Linked DNA regions of Arabidopsis thaliana. The protein of the gene in region 1 purifies or fractionates together with the protein of each later gene. This does not show direct contact. Each region holds a gene or a part of one and is shown in the gene's direction. Other genes may lie near its edges. The genes, in order: AT3G04590, AT3G20820 and AT5G12940.

The links.
Region 2: the proteins of AT3G04590 (region 1) and AT3G20820 fractionate together in Arabidopsis thaliana (co-fractionation; one large-scale study listed by BioGRID). This does not show direct contact.
Region 3: the proteins of AT3G04590 (region 1) and AT5G12940 fractionate together in Arabidopsis thaliana (co-fractionation; one large-scale study listed by BioGRID). This does not show direct contact.

The regions. Positions count from the first base shown.
Region 1 is NC_003074.8:1,237,496-1,244,460, reverse strand, and holds AT3G04590 (AT hook motif DNA-binding family protein), read left to right. Parts: upstream 1-2,656; 5' UTR 2,657-2,857; coding exon 2,858-3,350; intron 3,351-3,712; coding exon 3,713-3,765; intron 3,766-3,946; coding exon 3,947-4,078; intron 4,079-4,314; coding exon 4,315-4,467; intron 4,468-4,608; coding exon 4,609-4,954; intron 4,955-5,157; coding exon 5,158-5,216; 3' UTR 5,217-5,231; coding exon of another isoform or gene 5,232-5,248; 3' UTR 5,249-5,608; downstream 5,609-6,965. Other genes in the region: AT3G04600 (Nucleotidylyl transferase superfamily protein), read right to left, coding at 1-83, 165-230, 333-384, 619-804, 894-1,013, 1,089-1,309; EIN4 (Signal transduction histidine kinase, hybrid-type, ethylene sensor), read left to right, coding at 6,496-6,965. UniProt on the Arabidopsis thaliana protein: Transcription factor that specifically binds AT-rich DNA sequences related to the nuclear matrix attachment regions (MARs).
Region 2 is NC_003074.8:7,278,203-7,284,003, forward strand, and holds AT3G20820 (Leucine-rich repeat (LRR) family protein), read left to right. Parts: upstream 1-2,589; 5' UTR 2,590-2,727; coding exon 2,728-3,825; 3' UTR 3,826-4,175; downstream 4,176-5,801.
Region 3 is NC_003076.8:4,085,185-4,090,923, forward strand, and holds AT5G12940 (Leucine-rich repeat (LRR) family protein), read left to right. Parts: upstream 1-2,504; 5' UTR 2,505-2,597; coding exon 2,598-3,713; 3' UTR 3,714-3,962; downstream 3,963-5,739. Other genes in the region: AT5G12930 (inactive rhomboid protein), read right to left, coding at 1-38.

The DNA.
Region 1 (6,965 bases):
TCAATAGCACAAGGAATCAAGCAGCGGAGATTGTCCTTGCCAGGGAACAAATGTGGGAATGAGCTAGGAAAAGATGGAACTGCCTGCAAATATACGGAAAACAATTATACAGTCTATATGCAGTTAGAATACACATAGCCACACCAACAGAACAAACGACATACCTGCACAGGAGGGAAACTGAGTTTCGCGATAGGATCTTCACCGGAAAAGCCAAAGATTCCCATAGCCTAGCAAAGAAGGAGATATACAAATGAAAACCACAAACACAAAGTAGCTATACAACATATCAGCCGCATTGTGCAATTCAAGGAGATAGATAGTAAAGTCACCTTATTAAGTGTAACGCACTTGCCAACCTTCACCATATTTTTATAGAAAGCACTACACACAAAGTTTTTGCATATGATCAGCCAAATATACTGTGATACATCAATCAAAAAAAAAAAAAAAAACGAAGGACAATATATGATCTTACAAATCTTCGCCAAAAAAAAAATAAAAAATTGAGCTACATGCATGTAGACTATATGTACTACCAAGAGCTCTTCAAGCAATATTTTCTACAAAGCAAGAGCGGTGCTAGTTATTTCCATAGAAGATTCGAATGCGACTTACCCGCCAACATAGTCGAAGTCCGAGAAAATGAAGGTCTTTGTTACATCGAATCCACAAGCAATAATATCTTTCGCATTTTCTCTGGCAAGTCTTTGACTTTCCTCCACCGATAAGTTCTTCCATATACTTTTTTCATCATCCGTGAGCTGTATAACAAGGGGAACCTTGAAAGCTTCTTGCAAGTATCTGCAAACCATTTCAAGTATAAAGAGCAAGCACAATCTACCAAATCCGTAAACATGGTAAGACAATACTAGCTCCAGGATCTCACTTACTTGGTAAACATGAAAGGAATCAAATGCCCCAAATGCAATGCTTCTGATGAAGGTCCTCTTCCAGTGTAGAGATAGAACTTGTCTCCTCTCTCATAAGCGTCCAAAATCTCATTGAAATCCCTGTTAAAACCTCACAATTAAAACAAGCAAGACGAGAAATTTCTACACAATTAATTAAAACAGTGAATGTCTAACCGGTGGGCGAAGAAGACACTACGGCGGAGGAACACGTGTGGTTGACGAGAAGTCAGTCTCTGAACACGATCAATCAGTGACTCGTCAAGCCTTTGACATCCAAATTTGTCAATAAGCTTGTCGTAATCGATCTTCCCGCCGTCTTTGGCGGACACTTCCCATGGATTCACCACTTGCTCCGAAGATTCAGCCTCTCTCTCGTCCTTCTTATCCACCTCCATCGCGACGGAAAACAAAAACCTATACAAAAACAGAAGTCAGATTCAAAATCCTATTAGCAAACAAGCTGAATAGAGCTGAATGAAATTGTTATATCCAAGTACCTACGGTTGTTGCCGGTGATAAGACGGCCGTGGATATACGGCGGTGGTTTTGCGACTGGAGATAGTCTTTAGACTGACGAAGAACAAAACGAGGTTTAAGTCATATATTTATTACTATTTGGGAGTCAGAATATTTTATTTTTGTCAATTTTGCCGTCAAGTTTTAGATATACACATTACCCCTTTCTCTCTGGCCCAAAATTAAAACAATTATCGTCATTTATCCCTTTACTTTTAGAGAGAACAAATATCCCCCTCTCGTTAATTTTTTCAATTGTATCACTAATCAAAGTCTTTGACGCCATGATTGCCTTTTTCACTAGAAGTTCATTCATCATCTAAATGCACCGGTCCGGTTTATTGAATATCTTCTTCGTCTTTCTTTCTGATCCGTTAATAATCTTTCCATAGTCTATAAGATGTTATCATAATTTCATAAATTTTCATAATCCAATAGTTGATTAGTTTATGCACTAAAATAGGTGTTAAAAGATTTTAGATATGAAAATCATGTTTTGTGAATTTGAGAAAGAAGAAGAAGGGAGAAGTTTTTGGAGTGTTGTTTAGTGATGGAAGAAAATTCTGATGATGTTTATAACTAAACAAGATATGTCAAGAGATAAAAAAAAAAGAGTGGTGAGTGATGGGACGTTTGATTCTCTCATTGGTCTTTTCATCTCTAAAGGATGCTTCGGTTAGTCAATACAAGACTTGAAGATGCATTAAATCTGAAAAGGCCGGCCTTTGAGTTTTTATGGAGTTCATTTTGTGCTAGCTACATTTTTCAGTACTTGAAATCCCATCCGTTTATGCAATCTCCTAGCCAAAACAGATCATTGAGTTCCAAACAGTTACAAAGTCTTTTTTTCCCCTTTGTTTGATGCTTTGTTGCTTGTTTAGGAAGAAAGTGAATATGTGGCCTAACCGGGGTATTGGTTAGTGATTAAAGGCCTTTGTTGAATACCAATGTTGACGAATGCAAAGTTGAAAAAGGAGTTCAATCTTTTTGTTACACCCCCATTGACTTTATCATTTTCTTTTAATCATTCAAATCATGGTTTCTTTGAAATTGGAGGATATGTTAAATCAACCATGTACTAAATGACTAGAGAAAAGTGAAAAACTGAGAAGGTGAGTGAGTGATCTTTCGTTTCCCTCTGAAAAAATTAAATTTCTGTTTCCTCGAGAAATAAAAACAGATAAAAAAGGGTAAAAAGAAGAGATGCTTTAACACACATAAGTCAAAAACATCTTAAGTCAAATCTAGAAGATCTAACGGTTGAGATTCTATCTCATCATCTTCCTTCTTATCGATTAATATATAAGTATAAAATAATAAAACCCTAAAAGAAAACAAAAAAAAATGCAAAAAGAAAAAATGAAAAAAAATCCCTAACTCTCTCTCTCTAGAAATTCTTATTTTTGTGCGTATCTCTCTAAAAAGGAATGGATCCTAACGAAAGCCACCATCACCACCAACAACAACAGCTCCATCACCTCCACCAACAGCAACAGCAACAGCAGCAGCAGCAACGACTCACTTCTCCTTACTTCCACCACCAACTACAGCACCATCACCACCTTCCAACCACCGTAGCAACCACCGCTTCTACCGGAAACGCCGTTCCATCTTCCAACAATGGGCTTTTCCCTCCGCAGCCTCAGCCACAGCACCAGCCTAATGATGGGTCATCTTCTCTCGCGGTGTACCCTCATTCAGTTCCGTCCTCGGCTGTGACGGCGCCGATGGAGCCGGTAAAGAGGAAGAGGGGTCGACCAAGAAAGTATGTGACGCCGGAACAAGCCCTAGCGGCTAAGAAATTGGCGTCTTCTGCGAGTAGTTCGTCTGCTAAACAGAGGCGAGAGCTTGCTGCTGTTACCGGTGGTACGGTATCGACTAATTCCGGGTCATCCAAGAAATCTCAGCTTGGTTCTGTCGGTGGGTTTAATCTTTTCTTCTTTTGAATCTTATCGTTGGTCAATTTGATATCTAAAGTTTCCAACTTTAAGGTCAATGATTAATCTCCCAATTCTTAAATTTTGATTCTTTAGCTGTTAATTCGTTGGTGTGATTTGAGACGTAAGTGCCTTGAATTAGCATTATGTATAATTTACAGCAGTAGATTTACATCTTGAGTTTCTTAATTACACTGAAGATTGTGTAGTTAGATTCTTGTTTGTATAGTTTATCAATTTGTTTCTTTTTTAGATCCCATTGAGTATCTTTCAAGTGATCCTTTAGTTATATTCTGGAATTTGTGTTATACTCTGAGCTTTACTACAAGTTTTTTGTTGGTGCAGGGAAAACTGGACAATGTTTTACTCCGCATATTGTTAATATAGCTCCTGGCGAGGTATGTCATGTTCTTGTACACTCAAGATCCTTACTTGTAATAGAGATTTGTTGGTGTAGGCACAATATCTATCATTCTTTCAATTCTAAGTCATTCTATTTCTCTTTTTGTTTCATTGATACTAATGCAAATCGAGGAGGATCCTTAATGATTCTAAGTGTTCTCTTTGTGATACTGTCAGGATGTGGTCCAGAAAATTATGATGTTCGCAAACCAAAGCAAGCATGAACTATGCGTTCTTTCTGCATCAGGCACTATCTCTAATGCATCCTTGCGCCAACCGGCTCCATCAGGAGGCAACTTACCATATGAGGTGATTTTCTCTTGCAGTAAAATAGTACTCAGCTTGCTTCTTTGTTGTTTCTTTCCAAAGGGGAGAGGAGGGTTTTTTCTTTCTGATCCTTTCTCTCTATTCTGTGTGATAGAGGAAAATTGATACACAATACAGTTAGCATGTTGATAAAGCAAAGAGATTCTTAATTCAGATACTTTCTTTGAAGTTTGCATATCATTGTTAAACTTGCCTCAAATTTCAAAAAATTTATTCAGGGTCAATACGAGATTCTCTCACTATCTGGATCCTATATCCGAACTGAACAAGGTGGTAAATCCGGCGGCCTTAGCGTTTCTTTATCTGCTTCAGATGGTCAGATCATCGGTGGAGCGATTGGTAGCCATCTCACAGCTGCTGGCCCGGTTCAGGTACAATTCTGTTGTATCATAGTTTCAACTTGCATATATTGAAACATTGTTATTGTTTCCAACCATCTTACACAAAACTGATCATTTCCTAAGATAGGAGGTCTGGCTTTGATTGATCGCCTTAGATTTGTGCAAATGCAGGTGATTCTTGGTACGTTTCAGCTTGATAGAAAGAAGGATGCCGCCGGGAGTGGTGGGAAAGGGGATGCTTCAAACAGTGGAAGTCGGTTAACTTCTCCTGTAAGCTCTGGACAGTTGCTTGGCATGGGTTTCCCTCCTGGTATGGAATCTACGGGAAGAAATCCAATGAGGGGAAACGACGAGCAACATGATCATCATCATCATCAAGCCGGTTTGGGTGGACCTCATCATTTCATGATGCAAGCGCCGCAGGGGATACACATGACACATTCCAGGCCATCTGAATGGCGCGGAGGAGGCAACAGCGGTCATGATGGCAGAGGCGGTGGCGGGTATGATTTGTCAGGTAACAAAAAAGCTCAAAACTTCTCGAAAGATGTCATCTTTCTTCATCAAAGTTCAAACCCTTAAATCCAAACAAGGACAGATTAGAATTGCTATGGAGATTGGTGGAAATTAGTATTTTGTAGAGTTCTAGAAGATTACAGGCTAAAGCTCTTCTCCGTTGTGGCAATGGCTTGAAACGCTGATGGATGTAATCTTGTGCAGGAAGGATAGGACATGAGTCGTCGGAGAATGGAGATTACGAGCAGCAAATACCGGATTAGCAGAGCTTCCAGGAGAAGTGTGTAGAGTTTAGATCCCAAGTAGAGAAACAGAAGGCGAGCAAAGAATCTGAACTGAGAGAGGACTTATTAGACAGAGACTCGTCTGAAGGGTCTTTAATCATAGAAAGAAGTTGCTGAGTGATTGCTTTTGTTCTTCTTCTTGGTACGGTGTATTATATTAACTCCACAACCTTTTTTTTATACTTTCAGTAACGATTCTCCTTCACTTTCAATTTCATTCCTTTTTTTTATACTCTTTTTCTTTTCTTATAATATTTTTTTTGGTTTTTCTTTCGTTTGTTACTAAAAAAGGAAATGCTCTTTTTGTGAAATATATACACTTCGTTTGTTCGGTTTCTACTTATGTTAATTATTCATAACCTATCTTAATTTAGTAAACGGTTCCTATGAGCCGTTACTTGGACCAAAACATTAACTCATTTGACGAAGAACAAAAAAACTCATTTGAGAATTCTGTTTATTTATTCATATTAATATTGATTTAGTTTAAAATTCTTGGTAACTTTATGTCAAGTTGTCAACTTGTAAATTTCTTGATTGATAATGTTGGAATGCTATAACTTATGTGAAGCCAAAAATTACTGTTAAAAATTCTTATCTTTAATGGGAATTTTTTGTTGACATCTAAGCTTAAAGTGAAACACCACCATTTTTATGGACTTGAGCAACTCTCCGGAAATTGCTTAAGCGAAAAGTCTGCTGCTTTTGTCTTAAAAAAACTTTGAATATTGTTGACTCAAGTCTGAAAATCCGCAACTGAAACTCCCGGAAAAGATCTGCCACCACCGGACCAACTCGGTTTCTTCTCTTTTCTAATCACTTCTTCTGTTTCTCCAACTTCTGTGAAAAAGATGTCAGATTGACTCGATTTCGTTGCTACAAATGGAGATGGGTCTTTCTTATTTATCTTACTAGATTCGAGAGGTGTGTTCTTTCTCTATTCTATTGGCTTGAATCTTAGCTTTCGTTTTTCTCTGATTACCTTCCCCTGGAATTTAAAAAAAAAAAACTCAAAGGCGGTTTCTTTTCTCAGTACTACGAATATCGAGGAACATAGATCTTGATTCCTTTGCCTTCTTCTGGGTATGCGTGTTTGGAGTTGTTTAATCTCATTGGTCTCTACGCGTTGTGGAAATCTATGAATACCAAGTCAGTTATGTTTAATTGGTTCATTGGATCTCAACTTGTAGAGAGCCTCAAGATTGTGGCTGGATTTGATTAGGGTTTTAGATAGAGAGATTAAAGATTGGATCAGAAGATGTTAAGATCTTTAGGTCTTGGATTGCTTCTGTTTGCTCTTCTTGCTCTGGTTTCTGGTGATAACGATTACGTGAGCTGTAATTGTGACGACGAAGGTTTCTTAAGTGTCCACACCATCTTAGAATGTCAAAGAGTGAGTGATCTCTTAATAGCCATTGCCTATTTCTCAATACCTCTCGAGCTTCTCTACTTCATTAGCTTCTCCAATGTTCCTTTCAAATGGGTTCTTGTTCAATTCATTGCCTTTATTGTCCTATGTGGAATGACTCATTTGCTTAACGCTTGGACGTATTACGGACCACACTCTTTCCAGCTTATGCTTTGGCTTACCATCTTTAAATTCCTCACGGCGCTTGTCTCGTGTGCCACGGCTATCACGCTCTTGACTTTGATTCCGTTGCTGTTGAAATGGAAAGTTAGAGAGCTTTACTTGAAGCAGAATGTGTTGGAGCTTAATGAAGAGGTTGG
Region 2 (5,801 bases), 6.0 Mb from region 1:
TAAGAAGAAACTATGTAGAGAAGAAAACAACTGCTCCGAGCATGAAGATGTTTGTTTGGTTTACGTCTATGTTGTAAAAGACAATTGAGAGCTCTTGGTACAGACATTTTTTAGGTATTGGTAATGTTTGTCTTTGTTTCAAGTAAGAAATGGTTTAATCAAAATCTAATCTTCAATTAGTATCTTCCTTTTAGTTGGCTTATGTCATTGTAATTGCACTTATCTTGTTGATATCATTCATTTTATATATAACTTGCGACCTAACCAATGCTTTGGAGTTCGTGGGTGATTAATATACTCATGCCAAAACCAATAATTAATTTCTTGACACGTAATACCCGCAGCAACTGAGCTGTCGCATGACAAGCCAAAAAACCATCAAGTTTAAAGAAACAAAATCCACCAAGATGAGATTTTTAACTCGCAAAGATTTTTGTTCTTTGGGATGTAACATTAAATAGTAGACGACAGATTTTATGCGAAATACAAAAACTTTGAGAAAATAGTTTTAAAAAAGACATATTGTACCCCTCCAGGTAAAAAAGATCTAGTCCAACACCTATAAACTTTGAAAACTCTACTAGCATTAAACTTTGGACATTACTATGTCTCGCATAATCGCCTTTAGGAATGCTAAGGACAAAAACATGTTTTACAGTTATTGTCTGTGAGCAGTAGTTTCATGTGGCTGCCGTTTATTACGAAACCGTCGGTGCTGAATTAGAGACACGGACGGTGAAAAATCATAAACGGTAAATGCTTTTACAACCATTTATCTATATGCTTTGAAGCCCAATCTTAGCCCAAGCCATGATACTAGAAGCCGAATCAAAAGCTAATATAGGGCTTGATTGGTTCTCCCTCTGCCACCCGCAAACGCAGCGTTTGCGGGTGGTAGCGGTTATTAGCGGTTGGCACCAATCATAGAAACCGCTAGATACCGCTTTGGACCGCTTGAAATCACCAGATTTCAAAAGCTCCTTCCCGCAAGCGTTTGCGGTTGCGGGCGGTAGCGGTTAGGTTAAAAAAAAATTAATTAATTAATTAAAATAATTATGTCTTCCACCCAAACCTTATACTTATTCTTATCAGAAAACCCTAATCAATGAAACCCTATTCTCTCAATTATGGCATCCACCCAAACTGACAAAAATCAAAGTCAAAATCAAGAATCAAACGTAAGTATGATCTATCCTTTCATCCATTCATTAGCTAGTGTAATTCTCGGAATATTTCATGGCATCGTTGTTTTTTTTTATTTTGTTTTTTTTTGAGTTTTTTGATTGAATACATGTTTTGATTTGTTTTCTCGATTAGAAAATCATTTGGTCAAACGAGACCACATTTGCGTTACTTCAACGGGTTATTGTGGAGAAATAAACGGAAGAATCCAAAGACCCCAAAATCAGATTTCTAAGTGATGTTCAAAAAGAAAATATTCTTAAGAATATTAACGTTTGGAAAAAATTTGAGTTGGAGATGTGTTAAAAATCGTTTGGATATCTTGAAGAAACTTTATCATATGTATAGAGGCAATCCGGAAAACCCGCGAGTTCAACGTTATTTACAGTTTATCACACTACTTGATGCAATTTTTGGTGATGTACCAAATGCATAAAGTATTAAACTTTTTCTTACAAAATTTATTTATTTTTGAATTTTTAGTTTTATTTATGGTTTTAATTATTAAGTATGTTTAATTTTTCAAATATTATCAATTTATCATAATAATATATTGTATTTTTTTTCTTTTAATAGTAATATATTATATTTATTTTGGTTATTTTTTATTTAATTACTATCGCACCCGCTGGTTTACCAGTCATAAAACTCCCGCAAACGCACTCATTACCAAACGCTCAACCAGTCGTTCAAAACACTTGATAACGTTTGAAACCGCAACCGCCCGTTTCCGCAAATTCCCGCAACCGCAATCGTACCCGCTGCGTTTAAACCAGGCCCATAGTCAACATAAGTTACGGAACCACAACTATTTGCGACTCGAAGATGTGTATCGTCATCTCATAACATGATTAGAAAAAGGATTAAAATGCAAGAACATAACCACGTGGCGTCATGTTGACCCTGTGATATGATTGTAGTAAGCAACAAGCTTATCCAACCGGCAAGTCGCATCGGAAAATCTAATCGTAGCTTCAATTATTTGCATGGGAACTCTCCCCCACTTTCAGTTCCTGTCTCTATCTTAATTTGTCTGCAACCTTTTCTATTACCATCTAATGAATGTGCTCAACACTATAAATCCATGTGTATGTTTCTTCATTTTTGTGGCCATATTATTGCTACAACTAGTTATTACAAACCACACAATCACATGTTACTCAAACAACAAACCCACATGTTAAAAGTTATTACCAATTTCTTACGTTCTCGTTTTTTTGTGTTTAAGATATCTAACATGAATTTGACATTTGTTGTTGACTAATTTGATGTAGAATTTCTTGATTAATCAAGATTACACGAACACAAGCTTCATTATTGAACGAGGCCAAAGTGTCTAATCTTACCCATATCGAATTATTATTTTAACAATTTCACGTAAAAAAAAAAATAAAGCAAAGTATTGTCCTTTTTTTATTAATATATTTTTAAAAATTCCCTCTTTTATTTAATATCCTCTATTTATATGCCATTAACGTCTATCTTCTTCCCTCACCCATCAAGTCCCAATTCCCAACACTGTCACTCAAAAAGAATCTTCAAACAATGAATCTCAACGTCGTCGTTTTACTCCTACTCCTTCTAATCTCATCCGCCACGTGTTGTCCGCCGTCAGACCGCCGTGCACTTCTAGCTTTCCGATCAGCTCTTCACGAGCCTTACCTCGGCATTTTCAACTCATGGACAGGCCAAGACTGTTGCCACAACTGGTACGGTATTAGCTGCGACTCGCTCACTCACCGAGTCGCCGACATAAATCTCCGCGGCGAGTCAGAAGATCCAATCTTCGAACGAGCTCACCGAACCGGTTACATGACCGGACACATCTCCGCCTCGATATGTGAGCTCACTCGTCTCTCCGCCATTACAATCGCCGATTGGAAAGGTATCTCCGGCGAAATCCCTAAATGTATCACTCGTCTTCCTTTTCTCCGTACACTCGACTTAATCGGAAACCAAATCTCCGGTGGGATTCCATACGACATCGGAAGATTAAACCGGTTAGCTGTTTTAAACGTAGCCGATAACCGAATCTCCGGTTCAATTCCAAAATCATTAACCAATCTCTCTAGCTTAATGCATTTAGATCTCCGTAACAACTTAATCTCCGGTGTAATCCCGTCGGACGTCGGAAGATTAAAAATGCTCAGCCGTGCGTTATTATCCGGTAACCGAATAACCGGTCGGATCCCAGAATCATTAACCAATATCTACCGGTTAGCTGACGTGGATCTCTCCGGTAACCAACTCTACGGTACAATCCCACCGTCTCTAGGACGTATGTCGGTACTAGCCACACTTAACCTCGACGGAAACAAAATCTCCGGCGAGATACCTCAAACTCTGATGACGTCGTCGGTGATGAATCTGAATTTGAGCCGGAACTTGCTACAAGGGAAGATACCTGAAGGGTTTGGACCAAGGTCTTACTTCACAGTTCTTGATTTGTCGTATAATAATCTGAAAGGACCAATACCGAGATCGATCTCAGGTGCGTCGTTTATTGGTCATTTGGATCTTAGCCATAACCATCTCTGTGGGAGGATTCCGGTAGGTTCACCGTTTGATCATCTTGAAGCGGCGTCGTTTATGTTTAACGACTGTCTTTGTGGTAAACCTTTAAGAGCTTGCTTGAAAAATTGATTTTTATATGTAATTTGAGTTTTTTCATTAGAGACATTATTATATTTATGGTTATGCATTTTATAAAAAAAAGATTTAAAATTGTATGCTACGTTTAGTTGAATTATGGGATGATTAACAAAATATATAAACTTCCAGTTTCATTCGTCACACGATTGCTATCATTTTTAATTCAATTGTTTGGTTTTTTGTAATATGTTATATGTGTACGTATACGATTACTATAAACTGTTTTATAGACGATTAAATTTTCTCTATAACACACGAACATATTTGATAATCAATTATGTTTACTGTGACAAGAGTCAATATTGGGAATATATCCGAACATAGGATATACATGGAAATACCTACGGATATGTTCGTATTTAATGTATCGAGTAAACTATTTTTTGTTTTTTCTTACATATTTTATACGATATACATATAACTATAGACTAGGAATGCATTTAGTTGGGTTTGTTTAAGAACATTTATTCTAGAGCCAAATACACATAATATGGAAAAATTCAAATCACAATCACATGAAGAAGAATTAAATGAAACATTAAAAAGAAAGCGTTGTGGGGGTAATAAATAAATGGGCAGAGGCATTGCATGTGAGACTCTGTAAAGCATTTTGCGGTGAGTGTTAACCTCAGGACCTGTCGCTGCTTCACTACATGGGTCTACTCTTTATGTCACTGCATTCATTGCTTATGTCTCTAATTACACACATTTATATACTTGCTTACAAAACGTTTTGGGCTCATACAGCTTTAGAGTCCAAACTAATTGGGCCTACGTACGTTGGTCCCTATAGATTTTTATGGTTTAGAGTCCATCACAAATCTTGTTTTCATACTTTGTGGTATGTAAAGTTGAGATTCAAACAAACCATTTGTACAACGTATAAATTATGTATTAAGTTTGAACCTATTTGATTATATATTCCGATAAATAATCTGCCATACATCATCAAAACAAAATGATTTTTTTTTTAACATGAACTAAAGAAGAAGAAGAAAGTTGTACAAGTTCTTTAACTCTCTCCCTGCCTTCTGTTGCTTATGGAATAAGGTTGGTCGAACACAACATGTGATCACCTTCCTAATATCCAAATCTTCTTTTGTCCTATTAATTATTTATTTTTTCCAATATTTATCTTGATGGATTTTAGTATAAAATACCCATTGTCAATTTTGAGAAATGCCAAACTATAATTATAGGTTTTGTCCACTTTCTTTTTTTATTTTTTATTCCTCCTTTTTGTATTTGTCTTAATCAGTACTACTCGAAATACACTTTGTTCACTACTTGTAAAAACTCTTAACATACTTGAATAGGATCTGTTTTCTATAATTAACAGAAACATTACAAAGAACCAAATGCATAATGGTATGCAAGAAAACAAACCATATGAGTCATTGTTTAAATTGACTCTCCTTGTACAGTGAAACTTCTAGCTAATTACTTTTTTTGGTGACTGAACCAAGCTAAATCTAATGGAACAAGTGTTATTCAAAATAAATAAATTGATAGCTACTAACAAGAGCGTTGAGAACGTTACAATTAATATGTTAAATAATCAGATTTTAAATTTTGTGCAATCTCCAAAACTTTTCTGCTAACACTTTACATGGATCTTTGTTTTTCTTTGATCAAAGATCGTTTGTGAAATGACTTTCTAAGGCATTTTCGGTGTGACTTTCAAACGTATGTATTGTAAATAAAAAGGACATGTACGTATTTTCAAACACTATAAATCATTTGTAAATGTATGCTTTGCAAGTTTTGGGCGGAACACCTACATAAAAGTTAATTTTTCATTTTCAAAGCCAAACACCTATCTTTTTAGCTTGTAGGTGTATCCTTAATATGGGTAGGACTTTGTTTTACCCGTGACTTTGCTTTTTGCTCCATATCTCAACACAATTGCATCTATTGCTATATCATAAAAACACAAAAAGTAAGCTAGTCTTAGATCCATCGTAGAG
Region 3 (5,739 bases), on another chromosome or scaffold:
TAAGACCCGGGATCCGGATCCGAACCGGGTTCATTCATGGACGAGCCGAAGAGGAATGGAGGAATCAACGAGGTTCGTTCGTCTTCAAAGAGAGATTTCAATTCTTCAAAGAGAGATTTTTTCAATTTTCAATATTCAATATTCAATTTTGGGTTCTTTGGAGTTTTCTGTAATTTCAAAATGTGAGATTTCCCCCGTAAGGAAGGTGATGCGACGTTCATCGTCTGGGTCTACATTGAAGCCACGTATTCATTTTTTTGCCTTTTTGGTTCATTTTCTTTTTACTGTCTCTCTTGTACTTTTCTTCACAGCCACATTTTTCTGGTGTTTTGATTTCCAAGGTTATTGTTTTGAAAAAACAAACATATATGTTTTCTGCTTATTCGTCTTTTTGTTAAGATTAATCGAGTAGTCCTATATAGAAAAATCATACTTTTATTTGTCTTTTTTTGGAACTTAATAAATAGTTATAGACACATTCTTTGAAAAACATTAGTCCAAAACTCACTTGGTCTCTCTCTTTATTTGTCTTGGGTTCTACCTTTCTGGCTCTCCTAAAATATATCTCACCTTCACCTTGTGAATTATCTCAGCCAGTAGAGCTCCAGTTCACCGTTACGCTTTGCATGGTGCGTCAATACTTAACCTTTATTCGCTGGTCTATCTCTCATGTCAGTCATGTGCTTGCTCATGCATTATTTACGGGAACCACATTTTTGTATTAGTTCTCATAACCCTTAATTGGGTATTTGATTGAACCACATTTTGCAAGCATTAATACACGATTACACGTGACGTCTAACGGTCTAAGTGATATATCCTCCAGTGATATAGACACGTGCTATGCCCTAGTCCTTGGGAAATCGACCTTTCTTTTTGTTTTTCTTCGTTTTCTGAATTATGAAAAGTCGTCTGTTGTTGACTCCCCTGCATACTACCTACATTTTTGTAAGTGTTATTCTATGCAATCAATCCCACAAATTTCTCATCTTTTTGCACTCAAAACACAGTTTACTAATTTAGTTTGTCACGTCAACAAAAAAATAGCCGACAAAAGTTATGTTTTGTGGATGATCATTTCATAAAACTTAATTGTATAATGATTGTTGTCATCATAATCCATGTTAATATATTTCAATCGACCGATGATTTATATGAATCAGTTTTTAAAGTTCTAATACACGGCAAACGAACGTCAAGCACATGCGCGGGCACATGAGTTGTCTTTTGAATAATCAAAGCCATTAATGTCACCCTTCTGACTTGACACTTCCTTCTAAATCTCTTGATACAATTATAACAACTACTAAATCTCCGAATCACGTTTACTCTAGCTGCTGTCTCCAAACCTGTCCTGTTTTTAGGGCCGACCATGAATTTTAAGATATATCTCAAGGGAAATAACTAAATACGCTAAACTACGTTGTTGAATTAAGAAGTTGATTTTCAACGTCTACAAACATAATTTCACTAAAGGTTGAATCTATTAGCGTTTCTGTTTGACGAAAACAAACGAACAGTTTAATCTTCCGCTGGTCTATGGACGATAAAATGAACAAGACAAAATAAAACCTTACATATTTGAGTCGTTGTTCTTTATCAAAAAAAAATAAAAAATTTGAGTCGTTGCTCGTCAGATTTTATGTCACTAGACAGCAACGAAAACAAGCACATAATAATCAAAACCGTAGCAGAAAATGCCAATCAAAGGTAAATTATGGTTCATGGAGGCAATTTGCAAACAATGATTAGGATTGTGTCATACTGTAGAAAAAATTAACAAAACAATTTTTTTATTATTCATTGACTCGAAGGTTGAACAAGAAGGTCGAAAAAATAAACATCTTTACATGGGGGTTCATATTATTTATGTACAAATTGCTACCAAGGACAAAGATCACATGCTCATCTACAACGATAAGATCAATGAATTTGACAGTATATTAATAAATCATGCATCTATACATAAATAAAAACTAGTAGGAACTAGTCTAGTCAAAAAGTACAGTATTATGGACAAGATATGAAACTAGCTAGGATAATACTAATTGCTGTAGCTTAAGCCACTTGAATGTTGTCCCTCATTATTATGTCCAAAAAATTCAATGTAGACAAGAAAAAAGAACTAATACTAATATATGTCTTGCCACGATTGTTACTTTAATCTCATTTTTCAAATATTATGGTCTCATATAGCCAAATCTGTAATTCTTATATTCCAGTACGTATGGAGAGACTCGGGAGAGTCGAACCAAGAACATGCTCAGGCCTTCTGAGTTGTGACATAGATAGTACAACCAGGCGACCGAGACAAACAAAACCATGTTATTTGTAATGAATCATAATGATCCAATCTTGACCACACACAAAGAAAAGTCTGATAATAATGAAACAAATGAGCATGCAAAGTATGTGACGACGTGGCAAAAAATGAGAAGGTTCAACGAAGCAACAAAAAGAAGTATTTCGTCGTCTTTACTCCCATCAATATGTGACTATAAATAAAACCATATAGTTAAGTCACACTTCCATGTCAACGTGCTTCAACCTATGTAAAGCTAAAAAAAAAACACATCACACAAAAGATTCTCTACACTATGGATACTAAGAAATCGTTAGTGATCCTATTGACTAACGTCGTCGTCTTCTTGCTTCTCTCCACGACTGTCCATTCTTGCTTACCGTCCGACCGAGCGGCGCTTCTAGAGTTCCGAGCAAAGCTCAACGAGCCCTACATTGGAGTTTTCAACACATGGAAAGGTCTAGACTGTTGCAAAGGCTGGTATGGTGTGAGCTGCGATCCCAACACCCGTCGAGTCGCCGGCATTACACTCCGAGGTGAATCCGAAGACCCGCTTTTCCAAAAGGCGAAACGGAGCGGACTAATGACCGGCTCCATTTCGCCCTCTATATGTAAGCTCACTCGTCTCTCCGGTATCATCATCGCTGATTGGAAGGGAATCTCCGGTGTGATTCCTAGTTGCATTGAGAATCTCCCTTTCTTGAGACATTTAGATCTCGTCGGAAATAAATTCTCCGGCGTGATTCCGGCGAATATCGGGAAGTTACTGAGGCTTAAAGTGTTGAATCTAGCTGATAATCACTTATACGGTGTGATTCCTCCGTCGATCACGAGATTAGTGAGTTTATCGCATTTGGATCTCAGGAATAACAATATCTCGGGAGTCATACCGCGAGATATTGGTCGTTTAAAGATGGTGAGTCGTGTCCTTTTAAGCGGTAACAAAATCTCGGGTCAAATACCCGATTCTCTGACCCGGATATACCGGCTCGCGGATCTTGAGCTCTCGATGAACCGACTCACCGGTCCGATTCCGGCTTCGTTCGGTAAAATGTCGGTGCTCGCGACTCTCAATCTCGATGGGAACTTGATCTCCGGTATGATTCCGGGGAGTCTATTGGCATCATCGATCTCGAATTTGAATCTGAGCGGGAATCTTATAACCGGAAGTATACCTAACACGTTTGGACCGAGATCGTACTTCACGGTGCTGGATCTTGCGAACAATCGTCTTCAGGGACCGATTCCGGCGAGTATCACGGCGGCGTCGTTTATTGGTCACCTTGACGTGAGCCATAACCATTTGTGTGGGAAGATTCCGATGGGATCTCCGTTTGATCATCTTGACGCGACGTCGTTTGCTTACAATGCTTGTCTTTGTGGAAAGCCTCTTGGGAATTGTAAGAAATAATTAATTAAATTATTGTTTAAAGATTTGAGGGAATCATTATATAGTTTGATTATGAATATTATTACTATAATTTTCACGTTATCAATGTAACTATAAGCAATATTTTTATCTGGTGTTTAAGTCTTCTTGTTTATCTGTCTTGATTGATTCTCAAACTATCATCAATGAGACACCTCGAACCAAATGAAATGAGCTAATAGGATAAACTTTTCAAATACGAGTTTAGAAATGTGGACCGACCACGCTTGTGAGATCAGTAAAGCCCGGGATACATTCAACCATTTGTTCTGACTAGACTTTACAAATATGGACTATGGTATGCATATTAAATTCGTCTCCTTACATACAATTCAAAACAGTTTGGTTAGAAGTGTAAGTGTGTAACACTTTTAAGATACGTTTTTTTCTTGTATCTCTTGTTTTGGTGTGTTTCACTTAGAGATTGGTTTCATTCAAATTTCAGTTAGTACATTTTTCTGTTGTAATGTTAAACCAGAATTTGTGTCTATGTCCATTTTCTTTGTGACGCCAGGTCTATATGTCCAATTAGGTGGTCTACTTAACAAAACATATTTAAGTGGACCGTATAGGCCAAATTGGTTTGGTGGGCTTGTATCCAATGTCGGTGGTGCACCATGCATAAGTAGTCGTCTTTTGGAAGAACGGAAGATATAAATATTGCCATAACTCCACAAGTTTTTCAACTGAGTTTTAATTAGTCGTAAATCAATATTGACGTAAAAATATCTCACACCTTTAAGCAATTCTGTGATGACCGCGTTGCTGATCATAGCCTCCAAAGGATGTGCAATGAACTATAAATTTTGCGATGGAATTAGTCAAACTACATTTTCTTTGTGATGATCTCTTTGATCCGTTATTGAACACACATTTCATATTTCAAAGATAAAGTAAGAATATTGACAAAGTTTCTGATAGATTACTCTATAGCACAAAACACAATAGTCACTACTAGCTAGATTACATAAATTTATTCATTAATGGTATATTGATCTAGATTCTGTTATAAGTAATAATGGCTAGCTTGCCCGGTAAAGATCATCACAACTATATAGTAGACATAGTTTTTTTAGAAGAACAACAAGATACGACACAAAGAACACGTGAATACCGTGCGGGAGAGAATTGCACAACAAGTATGTGATGCTTCTAAGTCACTTTTATTATTAACAGGAATACCGTACATGAGAGAATTCCATAACAAGTTTGTGTGCAAAGTATGCTTTGAAGCATCCTATTAGTTAAAAATATTAATGGTCCATGCTGATTGTAAAATTTCTAGTAATAATTGTTTCAACGTAACTGGTTTTAGACAAACGTATTGACATATGCTTACAAAAGCCTGTTTCTTAAGTGTTGAGGAAGACTTTCTCTCAAAGTATTCTTGTATGAGCTTTCTATGTTCTACAATAATTTCATAAAACTCATCGATTAACTATTAAGTATTCCAATTATTGTAGGGTAAATGTATTTAACTACCATATCGTTGAAAAGATAAAAAATATATATATATATGGTCTTACAATTAGAGACTTGCTCGGTCTTGGTCTTACTAACTAATCCCCCTTCCACTATATATGTGCAATAAGTTTCTTAGCAAGATTAGTCTCACCAACTCGAAGCATTGGAATGGATAAAGATATACTTTTGACATACTTTTGAACTATTAGTATGAGTTTAAATAAAATCAATTCTTCGACACCAACTAGAGTTGAGTTATATACATATGCATTGACACACAAAACCTTAGTCCTATACAGTATATTCTACATAGCTTATCAACTGAACAAGGTTACTGCCTTTGTAGCAATCCAATAAGGCACAACAACATAGTATTTACGTTTTCTCACTACAACGTTGCTAAAATGTTTTTTTTTTTTATATAGGTATTCAGTAGGTTTATTTTTTATAATATCATTCATTTTTTATTTCTCCCACAGATACCAGATCTTTTTAGGAACATTGTATTTATGGTACATGTATTTTTAAAACGGATCTAAGATCG